4 linked regions of the Drosophila melanogaster genome follow. The protein of the gene in region 4 purifies or fractionates together with the protein of the main gene of each other region. This does not show direct contact. Each region holds a gene or a part of one and is shown on either strand. Other genes may lie near its edges. The genes, in order: Vajk2, PPO2, Cpr64Ac and Fer2LCH.

Region 1 (4,318 bases), on a different chromosome or scaffold from region 4:
GGCCTACTCACTAAATTTACAGTTTTAAAAACATTGTTTGCGAACAATTACTTGACGCACTGTAATGCAATTCAGAATAATTCCCAAAATTTATAATAAATAAATAAATCATTGCATAGTTGTGGGAATATCCTTTGACTAAAATAAGCTGTATTAATCCACTTAAGAGTAACTCCACACCCCCTCATAAAAATTAATAAATATCCATAAATATATAATATATATATATATTATATATAAATATATAATATGTAAATATATAATATGTAGTCCTTTATGGCTACGTTTTAACTTGACAGATATATAACTTCTGTAAAAAAATGTATTTATTCCAAAATAGCAATGCAGCAATACAAATTAAGCTTTCAGCTTAAACAAAAGGCTCATTAAGTGAAAATACCCTATATACCTTAAAAATATCCTATCGAACTTCTATCTTTTTTTTTTTTAATGGAAAGCCCAGTATTTCTGAAAGTACAAGTCTTAAGTTTTTTTTTTTTAATTTTCGTTTTATTTACATTATTTAAATATGTACAAATATTTCATAGAAAAGAAATTTACGTGAAAAAGTCGAAGGAGCAACTCGTCAGCAGTTATTTCTCTGTGATTGTCTACAAAAGAACTGTACACTCGATGGATTTGGATGCCAGGAGACAGGCACTTTTCAAACGCCCCGGATGGGTTTTGGCAAGCTTTCTATAATGGATTGCGTCAGTTGTGTGATTTTCTCCTGGTTCCGATCCTTCCAGAATTTCGGTTGGTATCACAAACTAAAACTAAATTTGTAAGTCGTACGTTGGCGGTTGCTGGGCGTGGAAAGAGAGGGAGGGGTGCTTGATTCTTAATGTCTGTTGGATACTTTCGACTTGTTGGTTGGTTCGCTCGCCTTCACCCGACTTCACTTCTCGCTTGGCCCTCGACAGCATTGCGATTTCATCTACTTTTTGTGGAGGTAGCCACCGTGGGCGGAGCCGCCGTAGGAGGAGCTGCCGTAGGAGGAGATTCCGTGTCCGGAAATTCCGTATCCGGAGATTCCGTGTCCGGAGTAGCCGTGGCTGATGATGGCAGGAGCAGCGGCAACGGTGTGGGTGACGGCCACGGCGGGCTTGACGTGGCTCTCAACGTGGACAGGCACGGGCACGGCCACCTTGTAGGGCACTGGACGCTCCACATGGACGGGCACCTTGTGGATCACACGCTTCTCGACGGTGTATGGCACGGGCTTCTCCACGGGCACGGGGTATGGCTTGTCGACATGGACGGTGTAGGGACGATCAACTGGGATCTTCACGGGCACACGGATCACCTTCTCGACGGGGTAGGGCTGGGGCACCTCGACGGGCACCTTCACGATCTGCTTGACGGGCACATGGACGATCTTCTCCACGGGGTAGGGCTGGGGCACGGGCACCTTAACGGGATAGGTGACGGTCTTCTCGACGGGGTAGGGAACGTGACGCTCCACCTGGTAGGGCACCTGCACGGTCCTCACCACGGTGTTGGTGTGCACCTGGGTGGGCAGCTCAGCGACAGCGGGAGCCACTGGAACTCCAACACCGATGCCGGATCCCAGAATGGCGCCTCCCGCCGATGGTCCGTATCCGTAGCCCAGACCGTGGCCAATGCCGCGCTTCTCCTGCTTCTTCTCGGCGGGCTCGGCGGTCTCGACGGCCTTCTTGGGTGCCTCCTCACTGGCGTTGGCCACCAGCACGCACATCGCCACAAGGCCGAAAATGAGCTGCAATGACAAGTGGGTTAAATTCGATAGAAACCCAATTGGCTTGGTCGGGCGGTTATGCAACTGCAGCCGCTTCCGGCTCCACCTCCGCCCGATTACTCCATAATTTGGAATATGACAATTATGCAATGTTGGGTGGAAAGTTGGCTGGGCAACCAGCCAAGTTCAATTGTGGCCTAGGCCCCCTGACATATTGGGCATGCGGCGTATACTTAATGTGGCTTGATATTTTCGCAATAATTCGGTTAAAATACAAATTGGAAGAAGGCAAATTCAACTCTTTGTAGTTTCGCGTTCAAAGCTTTTTAATACGAATCTACATTTTTGTTTTCTTTTTTAAATGCTAAAAACATATTCTAGGACTGCCTATCCTTTTCGGGTTAAAATGATCCTTAACACTTTTCGATTTTAGTAATTATGAAATGTGATTTCTTTCAATAAGATTTAAATGTAGAACTGGTAATGGAAAAATTAAATATTTCAATTAGTTTTCTCTCTAAAAATCCTTTCTTAAAACCATGTTCATATTTACTTGGGTAAACCAAAATGCCACAAAAAAGTAACATATCTAGAGACATTTTAGAATATCCGTTCTATCCTTGCTTTTGAAAGAGCTGATGAAGTCGTGCAAAAACCTTTTTAAAAATACTTTAATTGCAACACCGATATGTCTACATTGTTCCATAAATATATATATATATATTCTTTTGCAAGTCACTTTAACTGAATCCGAGTTTTTGAAACACAATTATTCTAAGCAGCACTTCGAAGGAGAACACACTGAGCTCAGACCGAACATACCATGGATTTCATTTTGCACTAGGTTAGCTCCTCAACACTTTGCGATCAAGATGGGCTTGTATGTCTCAACCAACCCGCAACAGTTAACTGAATAATTTCGCACAGACGCAGCGAGCTTTTATATGGCCGATGCTGTGGCGGGATTGTCTTCAGCCGCGGCTGCGCAGTCGACGTGAATCGAGATCGCAGCAGCCGTGTTGAAAAAGCTCGCTCTCCATCCGTTCGACAGCTCCTCTCTCTCTTGGCCAACTGTCCGTGTGAGCCCGTGGCCCAAAGGAAATGCGTCAGCAAGCGAGCTTTTTCGAAAGAGGGTGCCTCACACGGACAGTGTCCATGTTGTCCGTGTGATCTGCGCCTGTATGAGTGCGTATCTGTGAACACTCGAGCTCCAACTGTAGCGATCTTTGGGAACTACTGAAAGTATTCAGACACCAAGTAACTGGGGGCACAGTTTAGTAGAAAGAATCGTTTCTTGCCAATAGCCAACATAACAAACATAGCAAATGGGTAATTTCGTTTAATTTTGCCTTAATCTACCAAAGAGATCCAATCAATTCTTTTGGAGAATCGCTCTTAATTGTACAGTTCAAACAATATAGACTTTTTTAATCATATACGTATGAATTTTAATCAACGACTTTAGAGTTTTAGAGTCTCAGAGTTTGTTTCTAGAATATTCGAAAAGTGATAAATTTTGTATTGTTAAAATTTTAGTAAACAGCTTTAAAAGTCCTTAGAAAGTTTATGTAATTTTAGATCGGAGCCCTTCCTCCGACGTCTTTTTGCGCAGTTAGTATTGTTATATGTAGCCATTATTATATTATCATTTTCCCTTTGTACAAATATATCTTATTAATATATTTTTTGTAAAAATCTCACATAAATACATGAAGTGTTAGTGTTTGTTTCCCAGGTAAAATTACATTAATGAACACGACAAATAAAATAAACTACTTGTATTTCTTACCATTTTACATAAATCTTTGGAAATCAACACATTCGAAAAGAACATTAATTATAAACATAATAATTATTCAATTAAAAATTAAATATTAACAAAGTTAAAAATGAACATAAAGAGTTTAAAATTTATGGACCATAAATAAATGAGTAATTTTTGGCTGGTAACGAAACCTTCATAATTATTAAAAAATATATACATTAAAAAAGAGATCACAAATACTTTTCTAATGCATAATTTTGACTAGTCCTTAGTGTTGGGAAATTTTTGCCCCAAAGCCTTGAGCCATTAATAAATAACTGACCGCGAGCACTTCAGTCACATAATCAAATTAGACACAACGGGCAAAGTGTTCCACAGCCATAAGTTAAATTCACATTAGCCACACATTTCCGAAAATTTCAGGTTACAAATCCAGTTGCAGTTGCAGTTGCATATTGAATGTAAATTGCTTGGCTGCAGAAGAAACATGCGCCGCATAGTCTGCTTGATTCTGTGTGGCTTCGTGACTGAACTTTTGATCTCGGATTTGTGTTTGGCTCCGTATTCTTGTTTGCTTCGGTTTTTTTTTCTCAGCTTTTTGGCCAGGCTGAGCGGCGTTTTAAGCCTTGATATGGGTGCATTGATTGAATGCTGTGGCAGTGTGGGTAATTTGACATTTTAATGCTGCAGAGGAAATACTCGCCAATGGCCATGTAAATGGAACGTGTGAACAATGAGTGGACCGCAAAACGCGCACAAAGGAGAACAGATACGGGCACCAAATCATGTTGGTTTTATGTGCATTAATTTAATTGTGGACATAACGCCGCGGACAT
Region 2 (6,620 bases), on a different chromosome or scaffold from region 4:
CTATGTATCTATCTATCTTTTTATTGGACATCCGTCCGTGCAGCTTTCATGTGTCATCACAACACCTTCCTCGTTTATCAATCGATGCGCGACGCGACCATGGAGCGCTGGGAGAAGGTCACCCACATTTCGATTGGATTTGCCTGGACGGTGGCGGCCCTCTTCGGCATCGCCGGCTACTCCACCTTCCGCGCTCTTTCCCAAGGTGAGGGATTGACACAAATTGCATTTAATTGCAGTGACAGGCAATTTGTGGATGTTTCCTGTCTGCTGTTTTCGGCATTTACTATACTTGTAGTATTTACTGCTTACGACCGTTCCAATCCCGATGGGATTCGGCTTTCCTTCTTGCAGGCGACCTGCTGGAGAACTACTGCTGGGATGACGACCTGATGAACTTCTCGCGTGTGCTCTTCTCCATATCGATACTCCTGACCTTCCCCATCGAGTGCTTCGTGTCCCGCGAGGTGAGCATCCGGAATCGCAGAGCCAGTTTAGCAACATACTTTTATTTTGGGCCATTCCCCACAGATTGTGCGCGCCCTCGTCCATCGGTTCGTGCTGAAGGAGCCCATCAGCGAGTTCACCCAGGACAAGGACCCCAGCCTGGAGAAGGGGGCCATTATCGATGAGTACTCGAAAGCCATTACCATGGCCATCGTGTTCAGCGCCTTCGTCATCTCGCCCATGACCGACTGCCTGGGTTCGGTGCTGGAGCTGAATGTGAGTAGGATTTTCCATGTCCCTTATCCATGTTCGCCTAGAAAATGGGTTGGGTACCCTTGACCAAAAGAAGGCGTTTCTATATATATGTAAGAATGGTACCCATCCGATGAAATAAGAAACATTTAAAGTCTTACTTTAAAGTCTTTACTTTTACATTTATTTAAATCATTGCGACCATGTGCACTTGTAATCTTCTTTATACTTTCTTTCAATACTAATATTTTTTACAAGTCCACTTGATGTTTATTTATCCCACTTTATGACTTTGTGGTTTTACCTCAATACACGCGATAACTTAAATCCGCAAACTCAGCTGCTTACTTGTGTTTTAGTTTAATCACAATCAGCAAGAGTTTACCCAAAACCTTTTTTAATGTACAAATTAATCATTTATGTTCCTAGTTTCCGAAAGAACACATTTCTTATCATTTATAATGCTCAGACCATTTATCATCGAGATAACTTCGACTAAGCAATTTGCAAACTTAAAGATTATTTATTACGGTTTTCGTTTGCATTTATTTCCGAGTGAATATTTGGCCTAGATGAAAGAGAATAAATTCCAATTCCCAAAGTCCATATATTCAAGTAGAAAGCTATGCAACAAAGAATCCACCAAATGCTTCATTAAATACATCTGAGACTAATTCCGATTTCACCATTCACATTTGCCAGACCAAAGGGAGAACCGTATGGCCAAGTTTATTATTATCGTCCGTAGCCATTTGCCCCTTGTATTCCAGTCACGGGTATTGGCCACAACGCCAATCCCAAACGGCATCTACAAATTCTGGCCGGAACCCGTCTTTGTATTTGCCATGCAAATTTATGCCCCACCCATCAGCCAGCCCATCAGAACATCAGCCCGTCAGCCCATCAGTACATTCAACAATCCACCCATTTCAGGGTCTCCTGGCGGCCATTCCCCTGGCCTACATCCTGCCCGGCCTGGCCTACATTCAGATGGAGCCGCACGCCCTGCTCAGCCGGGAGAAGCTGCCCGCTCTGGGCCTGGTGGTCTTCGGAGCCCTGGTGACCATCTTGGGGGCGGCGGTGCTCCTGCCGGGTCTAATGGGCGGCGACTGCCGATCGGACATTGTGATGGGTTACTGCCGGCAGGAGTTTCAGAACACCACCTCCTCGAACTAAGTTAACGGAACGGAAGTCAGCCCACGATGTGGGGCGCGCGGGTTGGGATCGCATTTTTATGGTTTGGGTTTTTGGGTTGAAACTTCTGATTTGACCTTCGGTTAATACAGCTGCACCACGTCGCATCGAAAGAAACTTGTACCTGAGTCCCAGACGTTCAAAGTATCTGCGTAAGTAAGTAGTAGGCACAGTGTTGAATTGGATTAGTGGATAGCGGATAGCGGATGTGTGATACGGGCGAACCTCAGTACAAAGGCCAGGCATTCTCTCCGATCGAGTAACCCATGTATATTTGCACCGGATAGTCGTTTAAAGTGTACATTTCGTTGGATCCCCGTTGTTGATGTCGATATTGTTGAAAGTAGTGAAAGTTCCTCGATATATAAGTGTGTGTGTACTCCGTACTCTGTACTTTGAAGCCATCAAGTTGAGCAAGCGATTTGAATTGAATTGAATCGAAAGAAACGAGCAAAGGCAAACTAAACCGAACTAGAACTAGATGTTATCCGTAGCTTTAGCGTAGTCTGAAACTATTTGGGCACCAATATACACATGCAATCCTTAGAGACAACCGACTCCCCAAGTTGAGAAGTGAATCAAAATCGAAAACGAAATCGAACAAGTATTATATGTATGTACCGAGAACTATTTGTAACTATGTATGCCCCGACGTTACCGGATCGTATTCCCCAGTTTTATATGTATGTATATGTATACAAGGGTAGATAAAAATGCGCTTGAACCGAACTAAAATCAAACTACAATATATCCCCATCAACACATCGATTTGAACAACAGTTTTGAGTTGTTAACGGCACTGAATTCTGTTTTGAATTGCATATGTACACCGAACACGATCGAATATTTATATATACAGAAACATAGATATATTTTTGTACAACTCTTGGTTTATACTGCACGATATTATGTAAATACATGTGTATGCATTTTTGGATGTGATTAAAGTCTTTACACTCACACAAAAGCCATCACCTCTTACTTTCTCTTCGGGCTGAGAGATCGGAACCAAGCTGAAGACCCCACAACTCTATATTCTAAGAGCTTAAACACTACATATCATGGCCAAGGAACACGGGACATGCCCAGGGCTTTTCTGAGATACATTTTACAAGATCTAAACAACTAACCAACTGAACCTATCGCTTTTACACAACGAATACGAGAACGGAAACGGAAACAGCAGCATACAATTTCCACAGACTTCCTGTATATACACGCTATATATATGTAGATCCGCTTGTCGTACGATATTGCTCATCTCTTCACTCGCCAAATATCTCGTTGTATCTCTCTTTTTAGCGCTATGCTAAATAAATATATGTATTGTATATCAAAGCAGTAGTAGGGAATTAGGGACGAATTGATCGATTATAGCCGAATTGTAATAACTATTATTGCCGTATTATGCATGTAGCTACATATATATACATACTATTATATTAAATTGTTTAGATGTGATGCTATCTGACCGGAGGATCGTGTGCGTAGAGAAGTTTTGATTTACAACGCAGGCATATCCCAGAGATAACAAAATCCGATTTCATTCCAATAGTATATATGTATAGATAAGCTAAAGCAAAACCAAATGAAATACTCTTGAAATAATAAAACTGCATTTTAGAAATATGCTAAAACAACACTGCGGTTTCCATACTATATCCTTATCGCCGCAATTTGTCGACAATTTCAATTCTCAGGCGTTCTTGTGGTTTTCAAAACCGATACTAGTGCCTTCGAAGTTTTGTATAAAATGTGCAGTTCTTTCGGTGAATAGTCACAGTCGTGAAGTTCCCAGACTTCCAGTCACATTCCCCATTTAGTTTGCTCCGCGATCCAGCAGGTCCTCCCTGACATCCCATTGAAAATGGCCGACAAGAAGAATCTCCTCCTGCTTTTCGACCATCCCACCGAGCCAGTGTTCATGGACAAGGGCAAGAGGGTGACCGTGTTCGATGTGCCCGACTCCTTCCTGACCGACCGCTACCGACCCATCAGCAACGAGGTGCAGAGCCGCGTCGGCGACAAGGTGGAGCAGCGCGTTCCAGTCCGGGAGATCTCCATTCCCGATCTGCGGATCCCCATGTCCCTGGGCCGGGACGAGCAGTTCTCGCTGTTCCTGCCCAAGCACCGCAGGATCGCCGGCCGCCTGATCGATATATTCATGAACATGCGCTCCGTGGACGACCTGCAGAGCGTGGCGGTGTACGCCAGGGATCGGGTCAACCCGGTGCTCTTCAACTACGCCTTGTCGGTGGCGCTGCTCCATCGTCCGGACACCCAGGGCCTGGATCTGCCATCCTTCTCGCAGACTTTCCCCGACCGCTTCATCGACTCGCAGGTGATCCGCAAGATGCGGGAGGAGTCTTTTGTGGTGCAGCCCGGTTCCCGGATGCCCATCACCATTCCCAGGGACTACACCGCCTCCGATCTGGATCCCGAGCACCGGCTGTGGTACTTCCGCGAGGATCTGGGCATCAACCTTCACCACTGGCATTGGCATCTGGTCTACCCCTTCGAGGCCTCCGACCGCAGCATAGTGGCCAAGGATCGTCGTGGCGAGCTCTTCTACTACATGCACCAGCAGGTGATCGCCCGCTACAATGCGGAGCGGTTCAGCAACAACCTGGCCAGGGTTCTGCCCTTCAACAACCTGAGGGATCCCATTGCCGAGGGCTACTTCCCCAAGATGGACTCTCTGGTAGCCAGCCGCGCGTGGCCACCGCGCTTCGAGAGCACCAGGTTGAGCGATCTCAACCGGGAGTCCGACCAGCTGAATGTGGAGATTGGAGATCTGGAGCGTTGGCGTGATCGCATCTACGAGGCCATTCACCAAGGATTTGTCATGGATGTGAGTTGTTGGTGGGTTTTCCATTAACTAAATAACATGCCATATTCCCTTTCAGGAGCGTGGCAACCGGGTGCCATTGGATGAGGCGACGGGCATTGATACCCTCGGCAACATGATTGAATCATCCATTCTGTCGCCCAACCGAGTGCTGGTAATAAGTCCTTACCCTTAGTAAATTATTCTAGGGATTAATCCTATTGCTCCCCTAGTATGGTGACCTGCACAACAACGGACACACCTTCATCTCGTACGCCCACGATCCGACCAGCAAGCACCTGGAGTCCTTTGGCGTGATGGGTGATGTGTCCACGGCCATGCGCGACCCGGTCTTCTACAAGTGGCACTCGTACATCGACCGCATCTTCCAGGAGCACAAGTCGCGCCTGCCCGCCTATACCGAGAACCAACTAAACTACCCGGGCGTCTCGATCGCGGGCATCCAGGTGGACACCAATGGAGGTCGTCCCAATAATCTGACCACCTTCTGGCAGCAGTCGGACGTGGACATGTCCCGTGGCTTCGACTTCCTGCCGCGAGGTAATGTCTTCGCCAGGTTCACCCACCTGCAGCATCTGCCCTTCACCTATACCATCAGTTTGAACAACGATAGTGGTGCCCAGCGTTTCGGCTACGTGCGCATCTTCATGGCGCCGAAGAACGACGAGCGTGGCCAGCCCATGCTGATGCGAGATCAGCGCTCCATGATGATCGAGCTGGACAAGTTCGTGACTTCGCTGAACCCGGGACCCAACACCATCCGCCGCCGCTCCACGGAGTCGAGCGTGACCATTCCGTTCGAGCGCACCTTCCGCAACCTGGATGCCAATCGTCCGGCGGCCGGCACTCCGGAGGAGCTGGAGTTCAACTTCTGCGGCTGCGGCTGGCCCAACCACATGCTGGTGCCAAAGGGTCTGCCCGAGGGACTGCAGTGCGTGCTGTTCATCATGGTGTCGAACTATGAGAACGACAGGGTATGTTAGCTGGCTAGTAAATCAAGGATATTTTTGACAATTATCTCCACCTCCAGATTGACCAGCAATTGGTGGGTCGGTGCAGCGATGCCGCTTCCTACTGTGGCGTCCGTGACCGTCTTTACCCGGATCGCCAGTCCATGGGATTCCCCTTCGACAGGTTGCCCCGCAGCGGAGTCGACCGCCTGGTTAACTTCCTCACGCCCAACATGAGCATCGTGGACGTGAACATCCGCCACGAGAACCGCACCGTGCAGCGCCCAAACTAGACGATCCGCACCTGATTCGCTTTCCCGATTCGCCCTGACCCGATTCCATGACCTCGCCCACTTCTAGATATACAACTCTTAGCAATCTATTGCATCTTTATTGAGCCGCTTAATAAACAAGACATCATGGCATTCCACAATCCCACTTTTGTTCTCAATTATTGTGGCTCGGCCTCCGGGCGAGAATCTCTCGCTGATTAGGCTTATCAGCCGCCCGGGAGAAGCTTTAAATGCCAGCTCCACGGCCGGAGCACCTCAGTTCGAGCAGATCCGGTGTTGAGTGCGAAAGTGAAACCGATTCCCGAGGAGATGGGCCTGCTGCTGCTTCTGGTGCTGATAGCGGGCATTGGCGTAAGCACTGTACCGATTAAATAATCTATGGGTCCACAAAGATCCCACAAAAAGATGTGGTCTTTAGATAACTTTAAATCATAATTTTGCGTGTTTGAAATATGTTTCATTTAGATGCGTGTCAGTTTCTATATAGTTTGAGGATACTTAGAAGACCTAGACTAAACTAAGCCTGTAATAGCAATAATATTGTAAGTGAATTTGCTGCTTTTAATTGATTGTCATTTATTTTAGTGCGCAACTGCAGCAGCCAACATTGACCTGGAGGCCAAGACGTTTGTGAAT
Region 3 (4,962 bases), on a different chromosome or scaffold from region 4:
CATCATCACCATCGCCGCTTTTTGGGGCCGCCTCTTCCTACCCAGCATTTGGCTGCGTCTGCGTCTCGGGCTTTGATCCAAATTCGCAGCACGTACTCCAATTTTCAGTCGTCTTGCGGTGGCTACACCAAGTTTTCATTTTTATTTGCCACTGTTTTTGCCTTGTTCGGATCGAAAGTGAATGCGATTTGATTATATTTCGGAGCAGTAGTTTTCGGTAATTGTCATGCAGGTTCCATCCAATGACAGTGCTTTTAATTTTCCTTTACACCAAAAGCGCGAAACTTATAATTAAGTTACCATAATGACGTCGAGTTGACAAGGGTTCAAGCTCAAAAACTTAATATTAATATATCTCTGGGATAAAAAAGTATCTTTAGAGTGTAATGATCCTGATTTTGATGTACTACTTGAATTGGTTGTCTCAAATAAATTGGAAAGTTTCTTATACACCTTATTGGGTATCAATTACTTATGCTAATGAGTTACCACTTATACATAATAAGGGTTTTCACAAGGGGTTCGGTTTCACTTAACAAGGTGAAACTGGGTCAATGTGGCCCAGTAATATCGATTAGACTAATATATATACTATATACCCATATATTACTATTGTAAATCTATTGAAAGATTATCAACATTTGATACATCAATTATATTGATATTATTCTAATAAATGGCCATGCATTTGGTTTATGTTTCCATAAGGAGATTTTTAGTTCCTCCCCTAAACGACTTTGCTGAAAAGGATAAATCTTATTTTAAATTTAACATGCTTTCCTAACAAATATCTTCAGTAACAACAAGAATCTCTGGTCTTTTGGAATTTGCCTAACTCCATGGTTGATTAAAGATTCCCCATCGATTTCGTGCTGTAACTGGTGGCTGGTTTTGAGTTCGTGACTCTTTTCCTAAATGCAACCAACGACCTTGCGACTCGTTGGCTGCGGATTCACCTCGGAGAGACGCTGAGCGATCCGGAGAAGCGGAGAGAGCCCCAAAAGTTGGCACCAAATGGTGGTATTACTCGTCGGGTTGTGGTAGCTGACTAACGGTTGTCGGCGTAGATTGTCGCCACCGGAAACCAGCATGGATATACAGTCGTCCAATTTGGCCAAAGCGAATGGAATGCTCCACTGCCATTTATGCAGTTCCTTGCCCAATCGCTTGACTCTGCTCTGAGATGAGAATTAATTAAAAGTGGATGAAATACTAACCACAGCCACTTAGCTGCCAATTGTGAGCAAGGTCGCCGCGGTTAGAGCTTCCAAATGCCGGCTAAATGCTTTTTGGCCCGATCGAGGCAATTACGGTGGCTAAGTGACCGGGCTCAGCAATGTGGGCGCTGGTCCAGTTGGTCAGGTGGAAATCGGATCGTCGAGGGGTTAATGCGTGTGCCAGTGCGTAATTGCGCCTGCGTCCCGCCCAATTCCATTCCCTCCACCAAGCCGTCGAAACTTGCCATTTTCGTTTTCTAATTAAACGAGTGGCTGCGAACGATTGATCTTGTTTTTATACCCTGCACTTTGGGTGGGCACATTGGACATGTATGTTACTATGAAGATTACTCGCACGTCACGCAAACCAAGCGAAATTTGCTTGCGTTTGGACAACATGGCGTGTGAGTGATAATCGGCATAACTTAACAGCAGGCATTTCAATTACATATTCAAATATTGATTGAAGTATGTTCGCCAAATGAGTGTTTACATATCCAATTGTAATCTTGGTTTCATACATTTTCAGAAAATTGAGAGTAAATACATATTTTCATTAGGTCTTTGATGATATTAAAGATTTTTCTTGAAAGGGTACCTACAATCGCTAAAAAAGCACTGTCACTGTTCTTGTGGCAACTGCAACTGAAACTGCCACAATATGAGGCACTTATTACATCAGACAAATTTTGGCTGGAGAACCTGAGAATGTGCCAAAAAACGGCGAAAAAATGAAACCAGATCGGCCAGCGAGTCAGCGGAAAACGAGTCTGGTGTTGCTGGTAGCTGACTAGCTGGGTATCTTGGAGCGGCGCTCTTGAACGGACTCAAATGGACTTCGGTGAGTGGTGTGCCTCGGCAGCGGCGGCTGCAGTTATTCCATTGAGAAAAGCCAGCACCAATGATGAAATCCGCACCAGAAACACGAAATCCGCCATCAGCGATGAGGTCTGGGGTGCAAGATCGAGATCGAGATCGGGCAGCCACCAAATGAGACGCAATTGTCACTCTGCCCATTAGATTGTCCAGTTTTTTTTTCCGCTGGCAGCTGCCGCCAGTTTCGAATATAAAACTGAAGACCACGCGGAAAATGCATCTCACATTTGAGCTGAGTTCTCGCAGTGCAGACACATCCAAACCAGAGCTCCCTCATTCTCACATCCTTCGCCATGATTGCCCAGGTGAGTTGGCCAAAGGAGTGCAGCTTTTAGTTGGCTCAACTGATCATGGAATTCCTCGCCAGACTCTGTTCGTTTTGGGACTGATCCTGTCCGCCGTTGTGGCCATTCCCATTGATCCCTATGGACTTTCGGCCCCTGGACTCACCTATGCGGCTCCCAAGTTGCTTGCTGCTCCTGCCATTTCCTATGCTGCTCCCAAACTCCTGGCGGCTCCTGCCATCTCGTATGCCGCTCCTGCCATCTCCTATGCTCCCAAGGTCCTGGCTGCCCCCGTCGCTGTGGCCAAGGTGGCTGTTGCCGAGCCCTACGATCCCAATCCGCAGTACAGCTTCTCGTACGGAGTAACCGATCATCACACCGGTGACTCCAAGCAGCAGGAGGAGACCCTGGTCAACGGAGTCGTCCACGGCAGCTACTCCCTGGCCGAACCCGATGGCACTATTCGCAAGGTCACCTACACCGCCGACAAGGTCAACGGATTCAATGCGGTCGTGGAGAAGAAGGGCGTGGCCGCGGTGGCCATTGCCAAGCCAGCTCTTGCCGTCGCCGCCGTTCCCGCCATCACCAAGATTGGATACGCTTCGGCGCCTGGTCTGAGTCTGGGTGGATACCACTAGGCGATGAACCGGTGGACCAAGCGATGACAAACTCCATGGCCTAGTTGTAGGACCGTTGTTAAATAGTTCTAATGCATTTACCCACTTTTCTGTCAGTCAAAACCCGAAACACAAGGACGTGCGTGCTGTTGCCACCCCGCTGTTGACCCACATTCCCAATCTCCGATCGAAGGATCGCCACCATAGACTACGTTTAGGGATACCGTTCTGGGGATCTGGGGAACGGCTATCGGCCACTTAGTGAATTAGTAACTGCATTTACTGAATAAAAGTTTCGGTACAAAAAAAAAGATTGAATGAATTGTTATTAGTTGTTCGATGGAACTGATCGGTTGGAAGTGATATTCGAAAAGTTGAAATATTTCTAGGAATGCTCCACATTCCCCTGCTTAACCCAGTTAAACATTGGGGTAGGTCCCGAGCTTCGAGTTAAAGCTCCCAATCTTAGATTCCGATCACGTAGTGCCAACTATATTTACGGTTATCACAATTCATATTGGTGGGGCTTCAATGGAGGGGAGAATTGTGCAAGTTGGGCCATTGGATGGCACGTCCATGGGGGAAACTTTTTGCAGGTGGACCAGGCACAAAAACGGGCCATTACGTCAGCAAATGGAATCGTTTTTGGCAGCGGTTGCCACACGGCGCATGTTATCGCGGAAATGTGGAGGCCCTTTATAACCCCGATCCAATGGCAATCCAAGACAGTTCCGACAGCATTGTCAAGCACAAAGCACCATTGGAAAACCACTATCCACCAGCAAATCTAGTCATGGCCCTGATCAAGGTGAGTTGAGGGAATCCTGGTCAAGGAATGTGATTGAACATACTACTAGGATCTGCACAAGTGTATATCTTGATCATAAATCAATCAATGCACCTTACTTAACCCACAGATCACCCTCATCTGCTGCGCTCTGATCGCCGCCATCGAGTGCGCCCTGCTCCCAGCTGCTGTTCCAGTGGGAGTGCCCCTCAACACGGAGGTGGATCCACATCCGCAGTACGCGTTCGCCTATAATGTGCAGGATGCCCTTACCGGGGACAGCAAGAGCCAGCAGGAGGTGCGGGATGGAGATGTGGTCAAGGGCTCCTACTCGGTGGTCGATGCCGATGGTTCACTGCGCACCGTCTTCTACACCGCCGATCCCATCAACGGTTTCAATGCGGTGGTGCAGCGAGGACCAGTTCCGGTGGCTGCTCGCCCATTGGTGGCTCCAGTGGCTGCTCCAATCTTGGGCTAACTCCACAATCTTTCAGAGCCTTTAACACTGCTTGTAACCTAGCTTTTACATAACTTATTGTCTGCTCCTTAGTCCGTTGTAAAGTCAGTAATCATTAAACAATAAACTCAATAAGCCAAAGAAATACATGAAATCCTTCAATCATATTCAAGGAAAATCCGCAAGTATTCGCTTCTCAAGGCGTTGATTAACTAAAATTAATCAAAAGCTCTACTAAAATTCCGAAACGAGTTTAAATTTACACCTATACATTTTTATTAATTAGTCAGTTGATTAGACAAGCTCAAGGCCCAAAATGCATACTTGCCTAGTTAATGATAATGAACTAAATTAAAAACACACTTAAAAGTAGTGCAAAATAACAAGATATTCAATGGACATTTTTTCAAGATCAAAATTTGCGTGTTAATTATGATGCAAATATCGTCGTTTTGAACTTGAAACTTAGCAGTGTGTTAACTTTTTCAATTACATCATAATTGCGGGTGTCAAGAAATGGAAATGGTTATGTGCTTAATGGAACTAATTACTTGGTGAACATTTTCGTGACTCCATGCCATGTAAAAGTGGTTTTGTAATTTTAAATGTAACAAAATGTAACCAGGAAAAGCCCAATTCGCCAAAGAAAGCTGACCCATTCCACTTACATAAGACCGCAATCTTAGATGGTTATCTCCCCTCCAGCTGTCCCACGCCCAAAGAA
Region 4 (5,911 bases):
GAACTCGCCCAGTTCGCCGTTGGTGTCCATCATCTTCTTGAGAGTGGTCAGCTTGCCGGCGAGCTCGCGCTGTCCGTGGAGCTGCTCCTCCAGATAGACACCGGTCAGGTAGTCCACCAGGTGGTAGTGGTTGTAGGGCTTGTTCTCGCAGGTCTGGATCAGCTTGCGGATGGACTTGGTCACCTTGATCTCCAGGTCGAGGGCGTCGGACAGGGCGGCGGCACCATCGGTCCACTCCTGCTTGGCCACAGTCTGTGGGGGATTCGCCAGGATTAGCTGGGCTTTTGGGTTTTCTAGGCGAGTCGTCGACTTACCGGCACATTGATCAGATCGCTGACTCCCTCGGTCAGTTGACCGCGCATGGACAGGTACTCCACCAGCTTGGATCCGTGCTCACGTTCCTCCTTGGCGGCCTTGAAGAAGTGCTCGGCGAATCCAGGGCGGTTGACGGTGTCGCGGGAGAAGTAGGCGCCCATGGCCAAGTACTGGTAGGAGGCGTTGATCTCCTCCTGGATCTGATTGCGCATGCCCTTTATGCAGGCATCCTTCATGTCCACCCAGTCCTTGGTAATCTCAGGAACAGCCAGGGAGCCTGCAATGGGATAAGGTTGGGTTAAGTCGGGGGACCACGATAACAATATATGGCTAGTATTCAGCTTTAAAAAATTTATTTTTGTAATCAGAACTTAGGTAAATTTTAATATTTTAAAAACCTTTGCACTCTTGGTCTTGACCTTCATGGCTTAGGTTTTGTTTTTCTTTTAGTTGATGCTCTTCTCGCTCCCTTTGAAGCTCTCTCACGAAACTCTTGCTTTCTTGCTTGGCTGAGGGGTAGGGCGTTGTTGGTTATTGCATTTAAGAGGGCGTAATTGCATAAACCTTTGAAATTGCGCTTGAAATGCCGCTATTCTAGGGCACAAAAACCGTGTGCAAAACTGTAATGGCCTACTCTCCCACTCTCTCTCTCTGTTTTTGTAACTGCATTGGTAACGTGCGCAGCTCTCGCCGCCATAGTAACGGCATTTGTTTTCGTGTAGTGCCGTGTGCAAAAAGCATGGTTCACCATGCTAGCTCACTCGGCCCGTAAAAGCCGTGTGCAAAGAGCGCCTTGAAATGTAACAACAAAAAGTCAAGCTTATTTATACCGCAATATTCATGGAAATGAAAGCGAAATTCGCATTATTTAATTATGAAAATTTATGTATAAAAACTGGTTATCATTTCCCCAAAGCGCAACGGAAGTATCAATAACTTTTAAATCAACTGGTTTGGTAACTTCACTTCATTGACGAAAGAGAGTGAAAGAGCGTCAAAGAGAAACGGCGCATGCTCTTTTCAACGCATTACAAATGTTTTGCTTCTCTTTGCGTATTGCGTCGAAATTTATTGTTTTTTTTCCGATGACCTGCCTTTGTTTTGTTTGAAATTCTGATGAATAAAACGTAACATTAGTACTTACACTTGAAATCTCCATAGGCCTGGGCCACCACGGCCAACAGGAGCAGGCTAGCAATTAGTTTCACCATCTTTGATCGTCGAACGTAGTCTTTACACAAAATCACAGAACAAAAATTTGTTTTTCACTTTAGTTTGATTTGCTTGAAATGCACAAATGAGAATGAGGCGACTCGAGTTGAGCTACAATGTTAAATAGGCGTTGAAATTGAAAATCTAGCTGCCTTTACACACACTGGCGCAGAAGGCGTCGCCTGCTTCAATTTGATGGGCTTGATTGGGATTATTTTCGACTTCTCGAATGCTTTCCAGTACCTTCTGCTGACAGCTTTAATCTGATTTTTCAGTGGAGCTAAGGCCTTTCTACGTTGTGTTTTAGCGAACTCGAAAGCGAACTGTCGCTCCGAACGGCGCACAAAACACTTTTAAGCGCGCGCGCTCTCGGTTTTTCTTCGTGTGTGTGTGAGTGATGGGAGAGTGTGCACTGTTATCTTTTCAACATGTCGCCCGTTCTTTGTTAACCGTTTAAATGGCTGATAATTGAATATTCCCGATAATTGCCGCACTCAATGTGATACACACGTCCTCAATATGGGTATACTTTGTATAAAGTCGGGTTTCCTAGTCAGATAATCCCCACTTACTAAGAAGTAAATTTATCAAATGCAATATGGCCGCTCTTTTGAGATGCGCATCAGCTGTTCTTTGTTTTTGTTTTGGCCGTGGGAGAGCACCACGTCATGTGTTGCCAGGCGGTTTAATTATTGCTGACAATTTAATTCACATTTTGTCAAGTTGATTTGCACGTTCGAAGGGGGGATCAGTCACCCACTTTGATAACTGCTAATATGGCGACGGCTCTTTTTTACGTGTCGCTTGCAGAGCTCCAAGAATGACACTTGATAAGAAGGATACATGGTGGGAAAACTTACAAATTACATAATTTGTTTGTTGATTGGGGAAACCCTACATTATCTCCGAACCCAGCAATAATATGTATTGTAAATAGCAACAGTCTCAAGCTCGATGCTGCTGTGAATTACCAATATATCAAAACTTAAAACATTATCTTAGGAGGTAGATGGTTTATCTGCAGTTTATTTTCAATTCTCATCGTTAGCTGATAAAACTCTCAGGAAACCACTTGAAATCCAAAGTGCAGCGTCCATATTTTGCACACGCTGACAACCCTGTCGTGAGTCACCTTCCAGCAGGCGCAGCAACAACAGCACTGGCAGCGGCCATATTTGAATGACACCGAAATCCCGCACTGAGCGCAAAACAACACATGCCCATGCACGCTCTCCAAAACCACACACACACAGCCATATCGATCGCATAGAAAGAGACGTACGCGACGCTATAAACAGCAGTTGATTTTCAGAGTTTCACCAAGAAGCACATAAAGCGATTGAATTATTAATAAAAGCACAGGCACTGGAAGTGAGTTTTAATATTACTAACTAACTACTTTGTGAGTGTTTAGTTACGAAAACTAGAAAATAATATTCTGGAAACTGTGTTTTTAAACCGACCACCATATAAATTTAAAAACCAAAACATTCCATTGGTGGTGGTTTTGTTGTTAAAAAAGAGCACAGAAAATTCAAGAAAACGCTACGACGCAAAACGAAAAAACTCGCCCAAAATGAAAACAAAAGTGTCTGTTTTCCAATTGTCAATTGTTGTGAAACTAATTTCCTTTGTTTTCGCCTCTCGAATTTGATTTTAATTTACAGTAAACCGTCGACATGAAATTTTTCGTTGCACTCGCTCTCTTTGCGTGCCTCGGCTCTCTTGCCTTGGCCAAGGATGATGAATATTGCCAGAACACTGTAATCACCGCATGCTCTACGTCAGCCTTTTCGGGTGAGTAAAGAGAGCGCCTCTAAGAGAGAGTGGCTAATCTGTGTTGTTGCTTTTTGTATCTTTGTAAAACATAATAATAAAAACAAGCGCTCACGGGCTTTTTCACAGGCAAGAGTAAGTGAAATATAGATTGGATGTATTTCTGCACTATCTCAGATTTCGTGAAAATGAACACTTTCCAATTCTTACTGCATTACGGCCCTTACATTATTATTTTAAAGATACAAATACAAATTCAAAATTCTATTGCCTTGTTTAGTATGGCACTACCTAGTTAGGAACCATTAAGACTATGTCATTACTATTGGATGTGCTTCTGCTCTCCTATTCTAAGAGTGTGATCTTTATTATTTGCTTTTTCCCCGTAGCCAACTCCATTTGTAATGCCCGTTTTGCTGGCATTGACCATATTGAGCCCGAGATCCAGTCCTACATCAACGCCAACTTGGCCAAGTCGTACGACTACCTCCTGCTGGCCACCCACTTCAACTCCTACCAGAAGAACCGCCCCGGCTTCCAGAAGCTGTACCAGGGACTCTCGGACCGCTCCTTCGAGGACAGCATTGCCCTGATCAAGCAGGTGACCCGTCGCGGAGGAATCGTTGACTTCAACACCCGCCACGAGTCTTCCGGCTCCGTGAGCACCAAGCGCGGCACTCTTGAGGTCGACGAACTGCACTCCCTGGCTCTGGCTCTGGACACCGAGAAGCAGCTGGCCACCGGAGCCACTCACGTGCACTCCCGTGCCACCCACGCCACCGACGCCGAGAGGGATCCCGAGCTGGCCCACTACTTCGAGGAGAACTTCCTGGGCAAGCAGGCCGAGAGCGTGCGCAAGCTGTCCGGCTATGCCAACGACCTCGCCAAGCTGATGAAGGTCCCCGACCCATCCCTGTCCGTCTACCTGTTCGACGAGTATCTGCAGAAGCAGTAAGGAGTGGAGACCACCTCCTTTTCCTCCTTCTTTTTCTAACACGCTCCTACACTGTCTCCTCAAAATTGCTCTCATAATTCCCTTATAAATTTGTTTCCTTGGATTGTTCATCAATAAATCGCAGTGCAGCAGCAGCATTATCAAAGCAGCCACAAGTGAATAATTTACACCGCGAAATTCACCTTGATTTACCAGCACACCAGATTGTGATAATGTTATCATAAATAAGTTAGCAAGTTCGCCCCAGCAAATGTATCTTTAGTATGTACGTTACCGCTTGAACAAATAATAAACACATCAAAGAACCTAATTATCAACTAGTAAAACAGCAGCATTTTTGCCTCTCTGATAAGGTTTGGGTTTGGGTCGAAATGTATCTGGTCCTCAATGAGGGGCGTCTGTTTGCGTTTTTTCTCCGAGTGCTGCTGATTGCGGGCTGGCTGGCAGTGTACTTTGGATATCATATGGAACAATGAAATATACAAAGTCGAAATGGTATCGGAAACTACTCAGTTCTGCGATCACAACGGGTGTAATGTTCCATAATGTTGTGGTTTCTGATATTCTTAGAATGTGCCTTCAACTAAAAACCATATGTTTATGTACAAGCCATCAACGCTTGTCTAAAAATAAATAAATAAATGAGAATGTAAACCCATGTTGTAAATATCGTAGTATTGTATGCAAACTACGTTACCATTTTAAAATCATCTTTTTGACCATTCAGAGACTGGAATCACTTAGGATCTAGTGGGATCTATCTATCTCAATATCAATTTATTACTTTCTTTCAATTGACAACCTAAATCGATGGTGAAAAGTGAAACCTATCTCTCGCAGTGATCTGTGGGGCTTAAAGGAGCCCGACTATCTAATCAGTGATACACTCCTCCGCCGCTGATACGAAGGGGCCACGTTTGTCATTCCATGCGAGATTCTCTCTGTCGCCTTATCACTGCCTGGTGCACACGGCTTTGCCGCTCCGGAACCGGAGCAGATCCGCCGGGCGCCATCTTGGCCGTCTGCTGACTAAGTCGGAGACTCCACGATGACGTGGATGTCACATTGTTGCGTAAGCCGATGCAATCTCGGATTTTAATTGTCCCCTGAATTTGCATCGCAGTTTCCCTATCTTCCTCTGCTCCCTCCTCACTCTCCTGACCTACAATAATTGTTGTGAATCCCTATTTGTGAATATGAGTTTTTTTTTTATAATCCACATGGAAGCTCTATTAATTCTAGGAAATTCCGTAAGATCCTATAACAGCTGCTCAATTAACGTGTGAAATAGGTAAAAATGTATCTTTAATCACTTTTGAAAGTGGTTTTCTCTAAGCATTTTCTGCGGCATTTGAGTAGCTATTGTACTATGCGACTATGGATCCCAGCCACGCATCGAAGCAATTTATCAATTAGCGACGCCCATTCAATGAGGACTTTGCTCATATCGCCGCACATCCGGAGTACGGATACGGTCCACTAGCACGTGAAATGAACGTCAATTTGCCATTTTAATGCCAGGGGTCAGGGGTCATCAAATCACAGCATCCGTATCTGCGGCATTAGGCGAATCCGTGTAATAACTGCGTGCTCTTATGTAATTAGAATATGACAGCCATAAGAGAAAACTCCATTCGGAATCATAACAGTTAG

What was found.
Region 1: the proteins of Fer2LCH (region 4) and Vajk2 purify together in Drosophila melanogaster (affinity purification with mass spectrometry, with the first as the bait; one large-scale study listed by BioGRID). This does not show direct contact.
Region 2: the proteins of Fer2LCH (region 4) and PPO2 purify together in Drosophila melanogaster (affinity purification with mass spectrometry, with the first as the bait; one large-scale study listed by BioGRID). This does not show direct contact.
Region 3: the proteins of Fer2LCH (region 4) and Cpr64Ac purify together in Drosophila melanogaster (affinity purification with mass spectrometry, with the first as the bait; one large-scale study listed by BioGRID). This does not show direct contact.

What each region holds. Positions count from the first base shown.
Region 1 is NT_033779.5:13,932,059-13,936,376, forward strand, and holds Vajk2 (Vajk2), read right to left. Parts: upstream 2,635-4,318; 5' UTR 2,552-2,634; coding exon 2,540-2,551; intron 1,739-2,539; coding exon 938-1,738; 3' UTR 501-937; downstream 1-500.
Region 2 is NT_033778.4:9,041,761-9,048,380, reverse strand, and holds PPO2 (prophenoloxidase 2), read left to right. Parts: upstream 1-3,671; 5' UTR 3,672-3,760; coding exon 3,761-4,744; intron 4,745-4,799; coding exon 4,800-4,895; intron 4,896-4,953; coding exon 4,954-5,715; intron 5,716-5,771; coding exon 5,772-5,984; 3' UTR 5,985-6,120; downstream 6,121-6,620. Other genes in the region: CG13743 (uncharacterized protein), read left to right, coding at 44-205, 355-467, 532-723, 1,633-1,875; Ance-4, read left to right, coding at 6,294-6,335, 6,570-6,620. UniProt on the Drosophila melanogaster protein: This is a copper-containing oxidase that functions in the formation of pigments such as melanins and other polyphenolic compounds.
Region 3 is NT_037436.4:4,210,298-4,215,259, reverse strand, and holds Cpr64Ac (cuticular protein 64Ac), read left to right. Parts: upstream 1-2,344; 5' UTR 2,345-2,386; coding exon 2,387-2,398; intron 2,399-2,460; coding exon 2,461-3,015; 3' UTR 3,016-3,296; downstream 3,297-4,962. Other genes in the region: Cpr64Ab (cuticular protein 64Ab), read left to right, coding at 3,788-3,802, 3,912-4,259.
Region 4 is NT_033777.3:30,386,005-30,391,915, forward strand, and holds Fer2LCH (ferritin 2 light chain homologue), read left to right. Parts: upstream 1-2,825; 5' UTR 2,826-2,898; intron 2,899-3,134; exon of another isoform or gene 3,135-3,194; 5' UTR 3,195-3,206; coding exon 3,207-3,324; intron 3,325-3,411; coding exon 3,412-3,438; intron 3,439-3,692; coding exon 3,693-4,258; 3' UTR 4,259-4,580; downstream 4,581-5,911. Other genes in the region: Fer1HCH (ferritin 1 heavy chain homologue), read right to left, coding at 1-252, 315-592, 714-824, 1,099-1,107, 1,460-1,526. UniProt on the Drosophila melanogaster protein: Stores iron in a soluble, non-toxic, readily available form. Important for iron homeostasis. Iron is taken up in the ferrous form and deposited as ferric hydroxides after oxidation.